2 linked regions of the Drosophila melanogaster genome follow. The protein of the gene in region 1 purifies or fractionates together with the protein of each later gene. This does not show direct contact. Each region holds a gene or a part of one and is shown in the gene's direction. Other genes may lie near its edges.

Region 1 (5,979 bases):
CATCGGAAGCCAGACTATCGATAACGGTATCGATGTTTTGACCACTTTATTTCGTACCGTATACAGAATATAATATTGGTAAAAAAAATCTGTTAAATGCTGCTCCTGAGGCCTAAGGAGGATCACTTGGACGCCCGTTAGCATTATCCTTTGGCAGAGGACGCAGCCAAGGCACAGACATGTCCAGTTCAAATGGAGGCGTGGCATCAGGGGCCGCGGGAAGCAGCGGCGTCGCTTCGCCTGGCGATTGGATTTGCCCAGATTACGAGTGAGTGCCCGTAAAGATGCAGTGATAGCGGCCAAGTGAGAAGTCCTGCGAGTCTCACACTTCCCTCGATTTTGCAGCTGTCGCCATCTGAACTTCGCCCGCCGTTTGCAGTGCAACAAATGCGACCGGGACCGCGATGGCAGTGATAAGCCGGAGCGCGACAGGGATCGAGACCGGGAGCGGGAACGCGGCAACGGGAGCAGCAGCAGTAGCAGCAGCTCAAGCAAGAAAAAGCTGGGCACCGAGATCGGCAAGGCGGCGGCCGACAAGTCGCGGGGCTTGTTCAGCGCCGAGGACTGGCAGTGCAGCAAATGCGCGAATGTGAACTGGGCCCGTCGCCAAACCTGCAATATGTGCAACGCTCCTAAGTTCTCGGATGTGGAGGAGCGGACTGGTGAGTCCGTAGAAGCCTGATCTGCTTCAAAACCCACTTAACCAGTTTCTTTAAAGGCTTTGGCGGTGGATACAATGATCGCGGCGTGGTAGAGTACAAGGATCGTCAGGATTCGGATAGCGAGTACGATGAGTTCGGTCGTCGCAAGAAGCGAAAGCACGGCGAGCATAGAGAGGACTCAAAGAGGCCCAGAAGGTCTAGCCGAGATGAGCAGCGGAATGATGAGGAAGAAGATGAGGACGACGACGAGGGAGACGACGAGGATCTATCAAAGTACGATCTCTGGGGCGACGAAGAAGTCACTTCCACGGATGTCAAGAGCAAAGAGGGCACTGGCAATGGCGACAAGGAGCGCAAGCGTACCTCACGCGACTCTACCTCTTCCGTGTCCTCCTCGTCGTCGTCCAGTTCGTCCAGCTCCAGCGACTCTTCGTCGAGCAGCTCGAGTAGCTCCAGCAGCGGCGGCAGGCGGAAAACCTCCTCGTCGGGCAGACGTTAGCTGCAACCGTACCCTTTAGGAACTTCTCTTTAATTGCGTCTGTTTTTACACATTTTTCTAAGGCAATCATGCTTGCCTTCTTATTTATTTGCCAGTATGCGCTCAGATGATCATGACATAGGGTACGATGTCCAGCCTAACTCTTAAAGTATAATAAAACATATAATTTAAGAAAACCAGCATTTACATTTATTGTAAGACACCGTAACATTAAAGAATCGGGCCTAATTGAAGCCATCCTCGTTTTGTTTCTTGCTGCTGGCGGCTGCCTCCGCCTGCTGCAGCTCCTTCAGCATTTCCAGCTGCCTTTTTGAGTCGGCGATCTTCTCTTCTGTCACGGTCACGGGGACATCGCAGGAAATCTGTTCCTGCCGCACGAACTGCATCTTCTTGATGGCCTCCTCAAGGAAGGGTATTTGCTGGGCCTGCAGCTGCTTATGGTAAGCCTCTAGCCGCTCTTCCTTTAGGTTTTCGCAGTATATGTCGGTCAACTTTTGGAGGGATTCCTTGCGGGTGATCCAGTGGAAATGTGTGGGCGGTGGCTTGTACACCAGGTCGAGTTTCTCGAGAATCCACTCGAAGCGGGGATAATCCCAACGTCTCAAGTACTTGAGGAACTTCTTGCGTTTGTCGATGAGCTCCTTGAGACGCACCTTGATCATCTTGTCGCGCGGATGCTTGTCCATGTGCTCCTGGTAGCGGCGGATAACTGCAGTCATTTTTGCCACTAAAAGAAGGGCAAATTTGGGGGGAACTGCTATATGTGCACTTTGCAAAGATACATACATTTGGCCTCCATTGAGCCGAAATCCTGGGCATGTCTTTGCACCTCCTTGACCATCTCATCGCGATAGAATTTTGTGGTCAGGTAACTAGCGTTGTTGCTCAGTTTGAACAAGGATTTAACTGACTCGTCGGCTCTACAAAATGGTGAGATGATGTAAATAAACTATTATATTGAGAGAATACTGCAACATACTTATCCAACTCCTTGCAGTCCCTGTATTCCGGCAGCAGTTCGTCGGCTTTCAGAGGAGGCAGCTTGGCTAAATCGCCGCTCTTTTCGGGCTTATAGCACGCGATCTTCTCGGGGCGCATCCATTTGATTTTCAGGTCCGACTTGAATGCATATTCCCGGACAAACTGCCGATGCCCTGCCTGGGCTATATTCAACAGTTTATTCATTAATTCGGCTTTTATTTGTTGGACAAATTTTGGCTAGGTTATATCACTTGGCCAGTGTATACCAACAATCGAAAAGTTATTACTACCCAGCTGTTTGACCCATCGATTTCTTATCGATAGGCCTTGACAGTGTGTGCACACCGGTATTTCTTTAGTCAACAGCTGTAGAAACACCAATTGTTGCCGATTTCTTTCTTTTCGACTGTCGGCTTCTCGCGAAACTGTGATTGTGAAAATTGTACAAATAGAGGCAAATTTAACCATGGCGCACATGTCCCACATGCTCCAGCAGCCTTCGGGGTCGACGCCCTCCAACGTGGGCTCCAGCTCATCGCGCACGATGTCCCTGATGGAGAAACAAAAGTACATCGAGGACTACGACTTTCCCTACTGCGACGAGAGCAACAAATACGAAAAGGTGGCGAAAATTGGCCAAGGCACCTTCGGGTAAGTCTCCAAATTGGTGAAAACTAACTTTAAACTAAAACATACGACCCCTTTGATTACAGAGAGGTTTTTAAGGCTCGCGAGAAAAAGGGCAACAAGAAGTTTGTGGCCATGAAGAAGGTGCTGATGGACAACGAAAAGGAGGGCGTGCGTGAAAAGCAACATCTTAAGAGACGAATTCCTTATTTATATATGTGCTCCCCTAGTTTCCCATCACGGCTCTGCGAGAGATCCGCATCCTGCAGCTGCTAAAGCACGAGAACGTGGTGAATCTGATCGAGATCTGCCGCACCAAGGCCACCGCCACGAATGGTTACAGATCCACCTTCTATTTGGTCTTTGATTTCTGCGAACACGATTTGGCAGGTCTTCTGTCCAACATGAACGTCAAGTTCAGTCTGGGCGAGATTAAGAAGGTTATGCAGCAGCTTTTAAACGGTTTGTATTACATCCACAGCAACAAGGTGAGTCATGTCATTAAGCAAAGTTTTGGTTTTACATTGTATGTATCTGTTTTCATTTGCATTACTAGATCCTGCACCGAGACATGAAAGCTGCCAACGTGCTGATTACCAAGCATGGCATCTTAAAGCTGGCTGACTTTGGCTTGGCCCGTGCTTTTAGCATTCCAAAGAACGAGAGTAAGAATCGCTATACCAATCGCGTAGTAACCTTGTGGTACCGGCCGCCTGAGCTGCTACTTGGTGACCGCAACTATGGTCCACCCGTGGACATGTGGGGAGCCGGCTGCATAATGGCCGAGATGTGGACACGCTCGCCCATCATGCAAGGCAATACGGAGCAGCAGCAGCTAACCTTTATCTCGCAGCTATGCGGCTCCTTTACGCCGGACGTGTGGCCGGGAGTGGAGGAGCTGGAGCTGTACAAATCCATCGAGCTGCCAAAGAACCAGAAGCGTCGAGTCAAGGAGCGCCTGCGTCCGTATGTCAAGGATCAAACCGGCTGTGATCTATTGGACAAATTGCTGACCCTTGATCCCAAGAAACGCATCGATGCGGACACAGCTCTGAATCACGACTTCTTCTGGACGGATCCCATGCCCAGCGACTTGAGCAAGATGCTGTCCCAGCACCTGCAGAGCATGTTCGAGTACCTGGCGCAGCCACGCCGCAGCAACCAGATGCGCAACTATCACCAGCAACTGACCACCATGAACCAGAAGCCCCAGGACAACAGTATGATTGACCGGGTTTGGTAGACTGCCAGAGGTGTACGCACCCGACTAATAGTTTCTCACCTTCAACTAGCGTTAGGTTATTAGGTTAGTGTACAATAAAAATATTGGCATTTGCATTAGCGCTTGCTCCAAATATACCTACATTATGTTTCTCTGCTTCTTATTATTCTTTATTCAAAGTTTCTACAATTACTTGAAGTTGCAAGAAAGGGTATTCACAATCGACTTAAGTATTAGAACAAAAAGAAAAACATTGAAAAGGGGTGTACACACTGGCCGCGAGATGCACGTTGAGGAAACACAGCAAAAGGTAAACAAGGCCAAAAAGGCGGATAAAAAGCAGCGAAGATGTCTGGCAATCATCAAAAGTGACTGCGAGGTGTCTCCAAGCGCTGAACCCACCCCTTACCTGGCGGTTCTCAACGTGGGACTCAGCAATGGACTCACGGAGGAGTGTTTGCTCACGGAGGCTGCCGCGACCGGTGGAAAAGTCATCCAAGTGGTCATGTTGCCGGGCAAATCGTACTGTTTTTTTATTTGTGCCAGCTTGGAAGACTCCCAGCTCATCTATGAGGGAATGCACAATATATCGACCATTGGACAACAGGGAGCTGTAGCCTACCTTAGCTATATAAGGCAACTACCGGCACTTGCGGGAAAAAGTGAGTGGAACAAGCCTCTTCCCAGAGGCCTTCACATAATTGCTGACTTTGTCACCGAAGAGGAGGAGTCAACGCTGTTGAGGGCCATTGGCGAGGATGGCAGAACCTCCGAAGTCACGGGATCTCTAAAGCATCGAAACGTCAAGCACTTCGGCTTTGAGTTTCTTTACGGCACCAATAATGTGGATCCCTCGAAGCCTCTGGAACAGTCGATACCATCAGCATGTGATATTCTATGGCCACGACTAAATAGCTTCGCTTCCACCTGGGACTGGAGTTCTCCTGACCAGCTGACAGTGAATGAATACGAACCCGGTCATGGAATTCCCCCGCATGTGGACACACATAGTGCTTTCTTGGATCCCATTCTTTCGCTGTCCCTGCAATCCGACGTGGTAATGGACTTCCGCCGAGGAGATGACCAGGTTCAAGTCAGACTTCCGCGCCGATCCTTGCTAATAATGTCGGGTGAAGCTCGATACGATTGGACGCATGGCATCAGACCGAAGCACATTGATGTGGTACCCAGTGCATCTGGCGGTTTGACCACTCAAGCCCGCGGCAAGAGAACTTCTTTGACTTTTCGACGCCTGCGAAAAGGTCCCTGCGACTGTTCATACCCCGCGCTTTGCGACACACAGCAAACCAAGGTACCACAGGAGTTGCACGCATCGCTAGCTGCTCAGGCCATCACTCTGGAGCAACAGAACGTCCACGAGGTGTACGATAAGATTGCGGATCACTTCAGCGAAACGCGGCACACGCCTTGGCCACAAGTATCTGAATTTCTGGACTCCTTTGAGCCCCAATCTGTGGTGCTGGACATTGGTTGCGGCAATGGCAAGTATCTAAGCTGCAACCCGCTGCTCCTGTCCGTTGGTTGCGACAGAGCGCAAGGACTACTTGCTGTAGGTCGTCGGAAGGGACAAAACGTGTTTCGATGCGACTGTCTTGTGGTGCCCGTTCGCTCGTCCAGCATCGATGGCTGCATCAGTATAGCGGTTATTCATCACCTGGCCACCAAGGAGCGTCGATTGGCCGCCTTGCAGGAGATGGCACGTGTCCTCCGACCTGGAGGACGTGCTTTGGTTTACGTTTGGGCCAAGGATCAGCGAAAGAATGATAAGAAGTCGACTTATCTACGTCAAAATAAGGCAGTGAACAAGGAGCGTACCACTGAGCAGCAGCAGCGTCAGAAGCAACATCAGGAACTGGAGCAGCAGCTGTCCAATAATAACCCACTTCCTGTTCACACTAATCGCACAGAGTTCCAGCAGCAAGATGTTCTGGTGCCGTGGAAGACCAAGGATGAGCAGAAGACCACTT
Region 2 (9,599 bases), on another chromosome or scaffold:
TTGTGCAATCGTAATGTGAATATATACAATATATAGAACATGTAATGATATGAATATTTTAATATGTTGTAAAATACAAAAATTATTAGTACGGCCAAGCGATTGAATTTTCACTTCTTGGTCAAGCAATGGATCTTTTGCAGAAATACTCTAGACCAATCCCATATTTGAACAAGCGCCATTCTCTATTTACAAGGTTGTTAAATAGATATCAGGGAAATGTCTTGTTGGATGGACTAATCATATAAAAGCAATTGCTGGGCAAACAAACCTCTTGTTTTCGTGCCAACTTGAGTTCTAAAGAAAAGAGTTACCTTAACTATGTAAACCCATTTAGTTGGAAGTTCTTTTGCTAAGAAGTCATTATTTTTGTATCCAGAATATCTCAGAATATATTAACTATCTATCTGATTATGTAATGCTCTTGGTTTCTTATAAAATTTACATATTATATAGACGTCAGAGCTCATATGCTTCAAACCAGTTCTAATTTGCATTGATTATTGATGGACCAGTAGTAGTTTAGCTATTTTCCTACGTTTCAGACTAGGGACTTACATTAAACTAGACCAAGCTAGTCAGGAATATTCTTAAAAAAAGTATTAAAAAGCTTAACGAGCTTTGCTACTTTCTCTTACAGTTATTTTATTCATGTACATACATACATATATTATTATAATTCACCATTATAACTCCCCCTTTTCATATTGTTATGCTTAATAGACCTATTTCCGCAACAATAAACAAAAAGGGCCGACTGCAATCAGTGCGTGAACACTTGATATTGCTTTTCCATTTAATTGGAACAACCTAATTATGTTGCATGTTTAAATTTTCCGCCAAGAACTCGAAAATTAAGTCACACTATTCCGCTCTACGGTAACACTTGAAGCGTGAACACTTTTCAAATATCGACCACTGGTTTATTGTAACGGTCGAGAAACGGTCACGCTGGAACGAACTGCAGGCAGTGGGTCGTCAAAATTTTGTTGTTAATCAATAGCAATTAGATAATAAGTGAAATAATGCTCAGACAACTGACACGGTCAATGGGCCCGACCTCGCGGCTGCTTAAGCAGGTCAACTATGGCACAAATGCCCCAGCTGGCACCCACATTCCCGTGACCAAGGCCCTGGAAATTGGACAGTGGGAGGAAAAGCTCAAGGCCGCCGGCGTCGAGGACAGGAAGTTCAACGTGAAATGCATCGTGTCGCATGTCCTGAAGCAGAAGTTTGTAAGTATCTGTGAGAAAAGCTGGCTATCAACATCACTAACCATGTTTACGTTCCGTAGAGTTCGGTTCCTGACTCATTTGACCAGCTGCAGCTAAATCCCGGCCAGCTGGCGGATTTCGAGCGCTTCCTGGAGGCCCGTTGTGCCCGCATGCCGTTGCAGCACATCATTGGCGAGTGGGACTTCATGGACATTACGCTGAAGACATCGCCGTCGGTCTTCATTCCACGCCCCGAAACGGAGGAGTTTATGCGCCTGGTGATCGATGATCACAAGAACGCAAAGCACGTCGATCTTTTGGAGGTGGGCTGCGGCTCGGGCGCCATGTCCTTGTCCATGCTACACAGTCTGCCGCAGGTGGTGGCCACTGCCATTGAGCGTAGCAAGGCGGCAACCGTTCTGGCTGCGGAGAATGCCAAAATGCTGGGGCTGCTGAATCGATTTGAGGTACACAACCACACCATGGAGGAGGACAAGTACCTGCCGGAGGCGCTGAAGGACAAGAAGTACGATTTGATCATCTCCAATCCTCCGTATGTGAAAACTGAGGAGTTTCAGTTTCTGCATCCCGAAGTCGTGGTGTAAGTGATGTTATACCAGATGGATGCAGTGCACTAACTATCTTATATCCCCAGGTATGAGAACCTTAATGCCCTGGACGGTGGGTCCGATGGATTGAGGGTGGCTCGACTGGTTTTCGACTTGGCTTGTCGGCACCTGCGTCCCGGTGGCAAGCTCTGGCTGGAACTGGGCAACGACCACCCGCCGATGGTGAAGACCATTATGAATCTGAAGTACGAGGGCCGGCTCAAGTTCATCGCCGGCTACAGTGACCAGTATCAGCGCGAGAGATTCGTTCAGATCGAGAAGGTCTAGGCGAGATTGCGCCATAGACAGGACGGAATGCTATGACTTTGACAATGCAATTAGCTATAACGTTGCCCATGCATTTAGCTGTGATTTGATTTAAGACCAGACATACCTGCACGCTGCCCAGAGACTCACACCTATATAAACAGAATATATAGCGCTATTAATCCTTAAGTTTCGTCTCTGAATCTTTTAGCAACAACCGCAGGCGGTATTACTTCACAAATATACCTGTATAAATTGCACAATGCAATTAGCTGTTTGATTTATGACCATATTATTATCAGTATACAAAAACCACAACGACTTTTACCTAAGGCTTTCTACTGCATTTTTGATCCTATAATAATGGATTAACATGATTTTAAAGATCAATAGGTTAAAAGTATAATGCACCTATAATAACTGGTCACTGATTTAAACTATGGCGATTATGATTTATAACCAGAGGCTTGCTGCCATAAATTGGAGGGTGTTAATGATCATCGCGGATCGAGTATAATGCTGTTTAATCAAACTGATGTATTCTATATCTGCGATAAGCAAAATGCTAACCATATTTTTGGCCTGAAAGATGTGTATCCTGTCAATATATAGAATCAGAATATTTCTATGCAAATTAGAAAGTTTTTGCTTAAAGTTACCACTTTAATGCTTATAGGTGTACTGATTATGAAAACAAGGACACATGTCCACAAGGATTACCATAATTATGAACCCGAGTGCATAAATCCCCCGACTTCGCATCTGAATCTTGTTGTAACCGCTCCGCTGGAGAGCTTTAAGCTCCGGAGCGGATAAAAGCTCCGACAGAGTGGCTCGGAGCAACAAGTGGCTAACTTCCGTTGCCAGTTGGAAGTCGAAACTCGCGCCGGACGAGTCTGCGGAATCCGGGTGCGCGAGTGGAACGCGGATTTAGATTGTCGTAGCTCTTTAATTCAATTGACGATTTCGAGCTGCGATCTCCTTCGTTCGGCTGGTGTGTGTTGTTTCACTTTCAAGTACGCATACATATGTGTAGTATAATTAACAAATGGCTAAATCATAATTAAAGTCGGAGTTTCAGTGGATATCACAATGAGCGCTTGATGAAAGTCAAGAAGAGGGAACTTAAAAAGCGCCGAAACAAAACAAAAACGAGAAACACGTTAAACGAGAAATTGATTTTAAAAATTCTACATAAATTTGACCATATAGATTTGGGTAAATGAATGAATGTGCATATATATGTACATGTATATATATATACATACGCCCAAACTGCGATTTGAAGGCGGTTTGAATGTGGATTGGAAACTTTTAGAAACCAATTAGCCAGATCGTGACATTACTTAATGCATTTATCCGCCCGATCGACGCGTGCAAGTGTGTGCCTGTGTGCGTGAGTGCGTGCGTGCGTAAACATGAATACCGAATTGAATCGAGTTCAAACTTGCGTTCTTTTCGCCGACTGGTTTTCCGGCGAGGCTGGCTTAATCGCCTTGCGTTTGTAATTTTAGCACACTTTCAATATTTATTGTCGGTCCCTGCTCCCCGGCGCAGAAAATGCGAATAACAATCTGAGCAAACAAGATTCGGCAACGAATTTGCAGCTTGCCGCGCTGTGCAAATAAAAGTATATATAAAAGTATGTACATATATACATTTATATATAGCTGGTAATGCCTCCTTTGGCAGCATCAATATGTGCACCTGCTACGTGCAACACCGACTTGCAGCAACAGCCAACCGATGAGCGAAAGTCGCACGCCGATTGTGTTAACAAGTGTGTGGCTGGCTGCTCCCTGCCCGCATTTTAATTCATCATCCGCACCGTGTGCCAAGGCACTGCGATTCCCAATCCGTGGAGCTGTGAACGTTTTTGGCGACCTGCAGGCTAAGCAAGCGATTTATATGCTGCCGCTCACATGGCACAAGGTCCCATCCAAAAACAGCAGCGGCCAAGATAGTAGTTCATATGCACATATTTGGGTTCTTAACAGGTTAATTGTCATTTTATAATGATATGGGTTTAATAGGTTTCCATATCTGATCCAAAACTATACAGAAATGGAAGAAAGTCATCATAGGTGATCTTTTATTTGATAATTTCTTACATAAAGTTACTACTTCTTGTTCCCCATTGTACGTTGTGTACAGTGCGCGACGGCTAAGAAAACGGAGTGAAAATCAAGATAGTCGTTATCTAGTTTAGATGGCCTTTCGCAGTCGGGGACTGGGAAACATTGAAATGCAAATACGCCGCCTCGGTAGTTTCATTTGTGTGTCAAAAATTGTGTGGGGGTGTGGGGGGTTAACCCGGCTTAGACTCTAATCTGATCGATCGGAGTGTGAGAAATGGCCTGCTAATGGAATACTTACCACTTTCCCACACTTTTCAATCGCTTCAGCCGAGTGTGTCACCTGTGCGAGCCCATTAATACCCAAGGATGAGCTGGACAAACGAAAGTTAGTTGCGATCGCGTGAAAAGGGAAACCGGACAGTCGGTTTTTTGAGTGCGGATACAAAGTCTACATGTGGCACAACGACAACAGCATCGGCCAGTAATTTAAATGCTTCGCGGCGGCAATTGAAAGGGCCAGCAATTAACCACGACTACTGCAGCTGCGAGGCATAGTGGAAAATCACTTTTATAGACGTACATACATAACTCTATATATACATAGAGTTAGCTCCTGCAGCAAAATGAAGAACCGCCAGCGAACGCGCCGAATATCGCTAAATGAAAACCACAACAGATACATGGGCAGCGGCGGCATCGATGTACAAATAGTTACCAATACAAAGGAGCCCAATCAAGTCAATTTAAATTCATCGTCAGCCACGACGACCTCAGCGGAGGCTGCTCTGCCCGCTTCGCTTCCACTTGCTCAGATAGCGCAGCAGCCACATACCCATCCCCATCCCCATCCCAATCCCCATCTCCACCAGCAACACCAGCTGATTGTGACGCCCACAACGATGACGGGCAAGTATCATCCAGCGCACGCCAAGCTGCGAAGATGCAAATCGACGCCGAGTCTCAATTGCGATGGCATGGCGGAGCCCATGGAGGAGGACCAGCTCCATCGCTTTGCAGCATGCTCACGTAACCCCGCCGCGGAGGCTCAGCAGCATGCACAGCCATCGTGCAACAGCAGCAGCAGCAGCAGCGACGGCAGCTGCAACAGCAACAAGTGCAGCAGCAACATCTGCGGTGCGCAGCCAACAACTCCGGAGTCATTGCGCTTCGGATGCGCTCACTACAAGCGGCGGGCCATGTTCGTGGTAAGTGCAACAGGCAGTCCAACTCCATTCATATTATCTATGGATGCTTTTCCAAGCATTACATAAAAGGAAAAGCCCCAGAAAAGTTATAAAAGTTATACACTTGAACTTCTTTGATATGTATATCAATACAAATTTTAATCCTTTTTTAGTGTATCGTAGTATCTATAACCATTCTTAAGATTAGTAGATAGATGTTCGTAGAAAGACTAGACGGATCCATGTATCTAGCAGTCTTACTTGTAGTGAGATTAGTTTATTCAAACCTCAAATGTGAAACCAGTCAACTTATGTGATATAAGAACAAACTTCAATTTTGAAAGTTCTTTTTTTATTTTATACGGGTATAGTTCAATTCCTGGGTCATCAGATAAAGAATTATGCAATTGGAACCCCTATGTCATGATTAGAAAGCGGATCAGTCATTTCACTTTTATAAAATGAATCCTAAAAATACATTGAAATAAATTCAAAGTGATAAAGCCATTAAACATTTCACCCATTTGGAAAATTTTCAAGAAGATTATGATGGCGCCTCTAAATGGCATTTGTATGCCTATTTATCCATCTATCTATCTATGTGTGTGTGTGTGTCTATCCAACACAGCTACCTTCCTGAAAATGGGCGCATTTAACCTTTATTTATTCGTTCCTAAACAAATAAAGTGGCTAAACTCTAAACAGACACCTTTGGCGAAGATTCTTTTGTGTCTGTCTGCTGACTAGATTTTGAATTCAATTGGAGGGCATCGCTATTTGCACGGCAAGTGTTTGGCTTGTGTGGACAGCTTGACGATGTCCGGCATCCAAAAAACTAACTGGTCAGCATGCTCCGCTGAGCAGGAACTGAGCAGGAGGCGAGTGGCCACTGGCCAGTTAACACCTCCATTCGCCATTCATCTGGGCAAACAATGCGTTTGTCTTGATCGCTCGCGTTTGGATAACAAATTATGGGGCATCTAAAAATGTTGTGTGTGCATATAAAGCAATCGTAGCACGGCTATATTCAGGTTCTTTACCTTAACAATTAGTAGAGCCAGCAGACATAATTATCGTAAGGTGATAAGTACAGAAGTTCGAAGGTGGGAAAAGTAACTCAGTGCTGGGGAAAGTGGTAACCATTTCATGTATAAAGTATCTCATGCAGAGAAGACTGCAGCTGCACTTGATTAGATAGATTTGTTTGTGAATGACCTGGATTATTAAATAAAGAAAAAGAAAGTTAAATGTAAATATTTAAATACTTATAATTCCAACAGTAGTGAGCGCTTATTTGTTGTTGAAAAGCAGCCAATTCGCGATATGAATTATTAATTCCCCAAAAATTCTGTATTATGCGCTATGGCCTTACAATACTTTCCAAAAAATGTCACGTAAATCCGTACACACGCTTCAATCTGTCCCACATTTTAATAAAATTCGAATGTAGAGGTTTTTGCTTTCGTCTGTGCACCGCGAGAAATTCGGATAAGCGAGGGTTTTGTGCACTAATGAGGTGCCCATTGAGTGTTGAATCAGCTGGGTTATTTTATAGTCAAATATTTATTTTCGCCCGACAGTGCGTGAAATAAATGTATACATGAATGTGGACATAAGCTGAGAGCAGTATGTGCAATCCCCCAAGTGGAGCAATGCCCCATGGATATCGCCTGTTCCCGCGAATCTTGTATCAATTTGTGTTAGAAGCTTTGTTTCGTCTTGGCTAAATAAATTTGAGATGTCTGGAGTTAGCCAATTGCAGATGCAAACGATCATTAAAATACGATCGTTAGTGAAGCACAGCAATGAAAGCCGGGGGGAATGACAAAGAAACCGGATTCGAAGACTCTTCTCCGGTTCGGTTCTGTACTTCGAGTGTTATCATCGCAGCAGCAGCAGAGTTGAAATAAATACTTGTATACGAAAAAACTGTTGTTAAGTTATAAATAATTCTCAAAGATAGTGGAGATAGATGTGTGCGCGAGGCTGGAGGCAGATACAAATGGCTGGGTGTTGGCTGTAACTAAGCCGAACTCGAGGATACACAAGATAATTAAGGGCATAAATTAACTTATTTTCAAACTTTATCCCCAAGACAAAACTGATAGAACTATATCATGTAGTTCGAGCTGTGCATCGACAGGTGAACTAATTAGCAGCCACCTAATTAAACGACACGAGTACCTTTGGCATCTTTACAATCGGATTGGGATTCACCCGCTGATTTGACTCGAAATTCGTACAAAATTCGATTCAGTTTCAAGTGCCTTGTTTATGATAATGCTAAGTTATTGCCTTTGGCATGTAGACGTCACTAGTAGATTTGTTTTTTAGTCGGTTTCCAGGCAGATTTCTTAAATTAGCAACTCCATTTGGGGAGTTAGGAGTCGTGCTAATTGCCGCTCGATAATAGGTTTTTCGTAGTCCTTGACTGAGGGGTGTAGTCCATCGGCAGGTGTGGCGGGGAGCAATCTCAGCTCCATTTAAAGTGGAATTTTTTCGAGCAGCGATTTCTTTTCAGCACTAATTTGATCTGATACTGATCACGCAACTATATCTTTCTCAGACCCCCTGCTGCAACAAGTTCTACAAGTGCCGATTTTGCCACGACGAGAACGAGACGCATCACTTCGATCGCAAAACGCTCACCGAACTAATATGCTCCGAGTGCAATACGCGGCAAACGGTGCGGGAGCAGTGCCTCAATTGCGGCGTGAGATTTGGTAAGGTAAGATATCCATCCAGGTGTCCAAAAATCACAGCAAAACCCTACTAGTAATATCATTTTGATGTACTTACAGTACACCTGCCTGATCTGCAACCTCTTCGATGATGCGGACAAGCAGCAGTACCATTGTCATGGATGTGGGATTTGTCGCATTGGCGGTGCGGAGAACTTCTTCCACTGCGAGGTGTGCAACATGTGCCTACCTATTCAGCTGAAGATCGATGGCCACCGGGTGAGTTGGTACTACATTTGGCACTTCATTGGGCTTGATTAAGATTTGGCCTGTAAGTGGGAATGCTGACCTCCGCGATTCGAAAGCAAATCAAAGAAACACATTAACTTTTTTTTTTTTTTGTCAATTCATTACCAAAACCGGTTGCCTAATTGCTATATGTAGCGATATATGATCTGCGATCTGCAATCTGGGATCCAGTTGAGTGGATATGAATGTCAAATGTGCTGAAGCAATGACTTCATTAATTGACAGCGAATTGGGCCAGAGACTGGCATGGCTGATTGCTAAATCCTTGCTAATTGACAACGTGTCTATTTTCCCGTAGTGCGTGGAGAACATCTCGCGATCGCACTGCCCCGTGTGCCTGGGCGACATCCACACTTCGCGCATACCCTGCCACATTCCCGACTGCGGACACCTGCTGCACAAGATGTGCTTCGACCAGCTGCTGGCCTCCGGCCACTACACCTGTCCCACCTGCCAGACCTCGCTGATCGATATGACGGCGCTGTGGGTATACTTGGACGACCAGGCGGAGCGCATGCCGGTGCCACTGAAGTACGAGAATCAGCGAGTGCACATATTCTGCAACGATTGTCACAAGGTACGACTAGATATACATAATACTAACATTCATGAAAAGCTCTTATAACCTTATCCAATTCATTACAGACTTCAAAAACCAAATTCCATTTCATCGGACTAAAGTGCGTCCATTGCGGCGCCTACAATACAACGCAGGATGTTAAACGCCGCCTGTCCCTGGTCACCGATGAACCATCCTCGGCGTGATATCCACCCGATTCAAACCACAGCATCAGCATCCGCATCTATATTCGCATCAGCAACAGGAAACCTCTTGCCATGCTACCCACACATCTGAGGACACTGATTTGTTAGCTCAAGACAACACAACTGAAATCGAAACGCATTGAATTTAGATCAAATTCGAGCTGGTATCGAATATTAACCATACAAACAAACATAAACAAAAGGCTCCCTAAATGATTTAAATATTGGTCTGGTCCCCTTAAGATTTAAAAATATCAATTAGTTTTTATGGAAATAGTTAGTTTCAATCGTAATAGGCATTTAAAAAACATTTTACCCTAATTGAGTTTTTAAATCTCCAGAGGATTTCAACGCACCAATATTTTGTACACAACACACATTGTTAAATTTAAATTTTCACTCGAATTTCAAGTATTCTATTTTGCAAAAATTATTTTGTGTAAATCTCGAATTTCTCTGTACACATTGCAAGCTCCGTTGCCACGAATAAAAA

Evidence for each region. The genes of interacting proteins can lie anywhere in the genome.
Region 2: the proteins of Cdk9 (region 1) and Rchy1 purify together in Drosophila melanogaster (affinity purification with western blotting; one study listed by BioGRID). This does not show direct contact.

Annotation. Positions count from the first base shown.
Region 1 is NT_033778.4:22,634,220-22,640,198, reverse strand, and holds Cdk9 (Cyclin-dependent kinase 9), read left to right. Parts: upstream 1-2,471; 5' UTR 2,472-2,608; coding exon 2,609-2,793; intron 2,794-2,855; coding exon 2,856-2,940; intron 2,941-2,999; coding exon 3,000-3,257; intron 3,258-3,325; coding exon 3,326-4,012; 3' UTR 4,013-4,136; downstream 4,137-5,979. Other genes in the region: CG3732 (uncharacterized protein), read left to right, coding at 180-268, 346-662, 719-1,161; bonsai, read right to left, coding at 1,386-1,888, 1,948-2,081, 2,141-2,346; CG17807 (uncharacterized protein), read left to right, coding at 4,275-5,979.
Region 2 is NT_033779.5:6,459,035-6,468,633, reverse strand, and holds the start of Rchy1 (ring finger and CHY zinc finger domain containing 1), read left to right. Parts: upstream 1-2,964; 5' UTR 2,965-3,105; intron 3,106-4,494; 5' UTR 4,495-4,790; coding exon 4,791-5,372; intron 5,373-7,917; coding exon 7,918-8,079; intron 8,080-8,152; coding exon 8,153-8,311; intron 8,312-8,639; coding exon 8,640-8,918; intron 8,919-8,986; coding exon 8,987-9,106; 3' UTR 9,107-9,599. Other genes in the region: HemK1 (HemK methyltransferase 1), read left to right, coding at 1,026-1,235, 1,295-1,815, 1,870-2,110.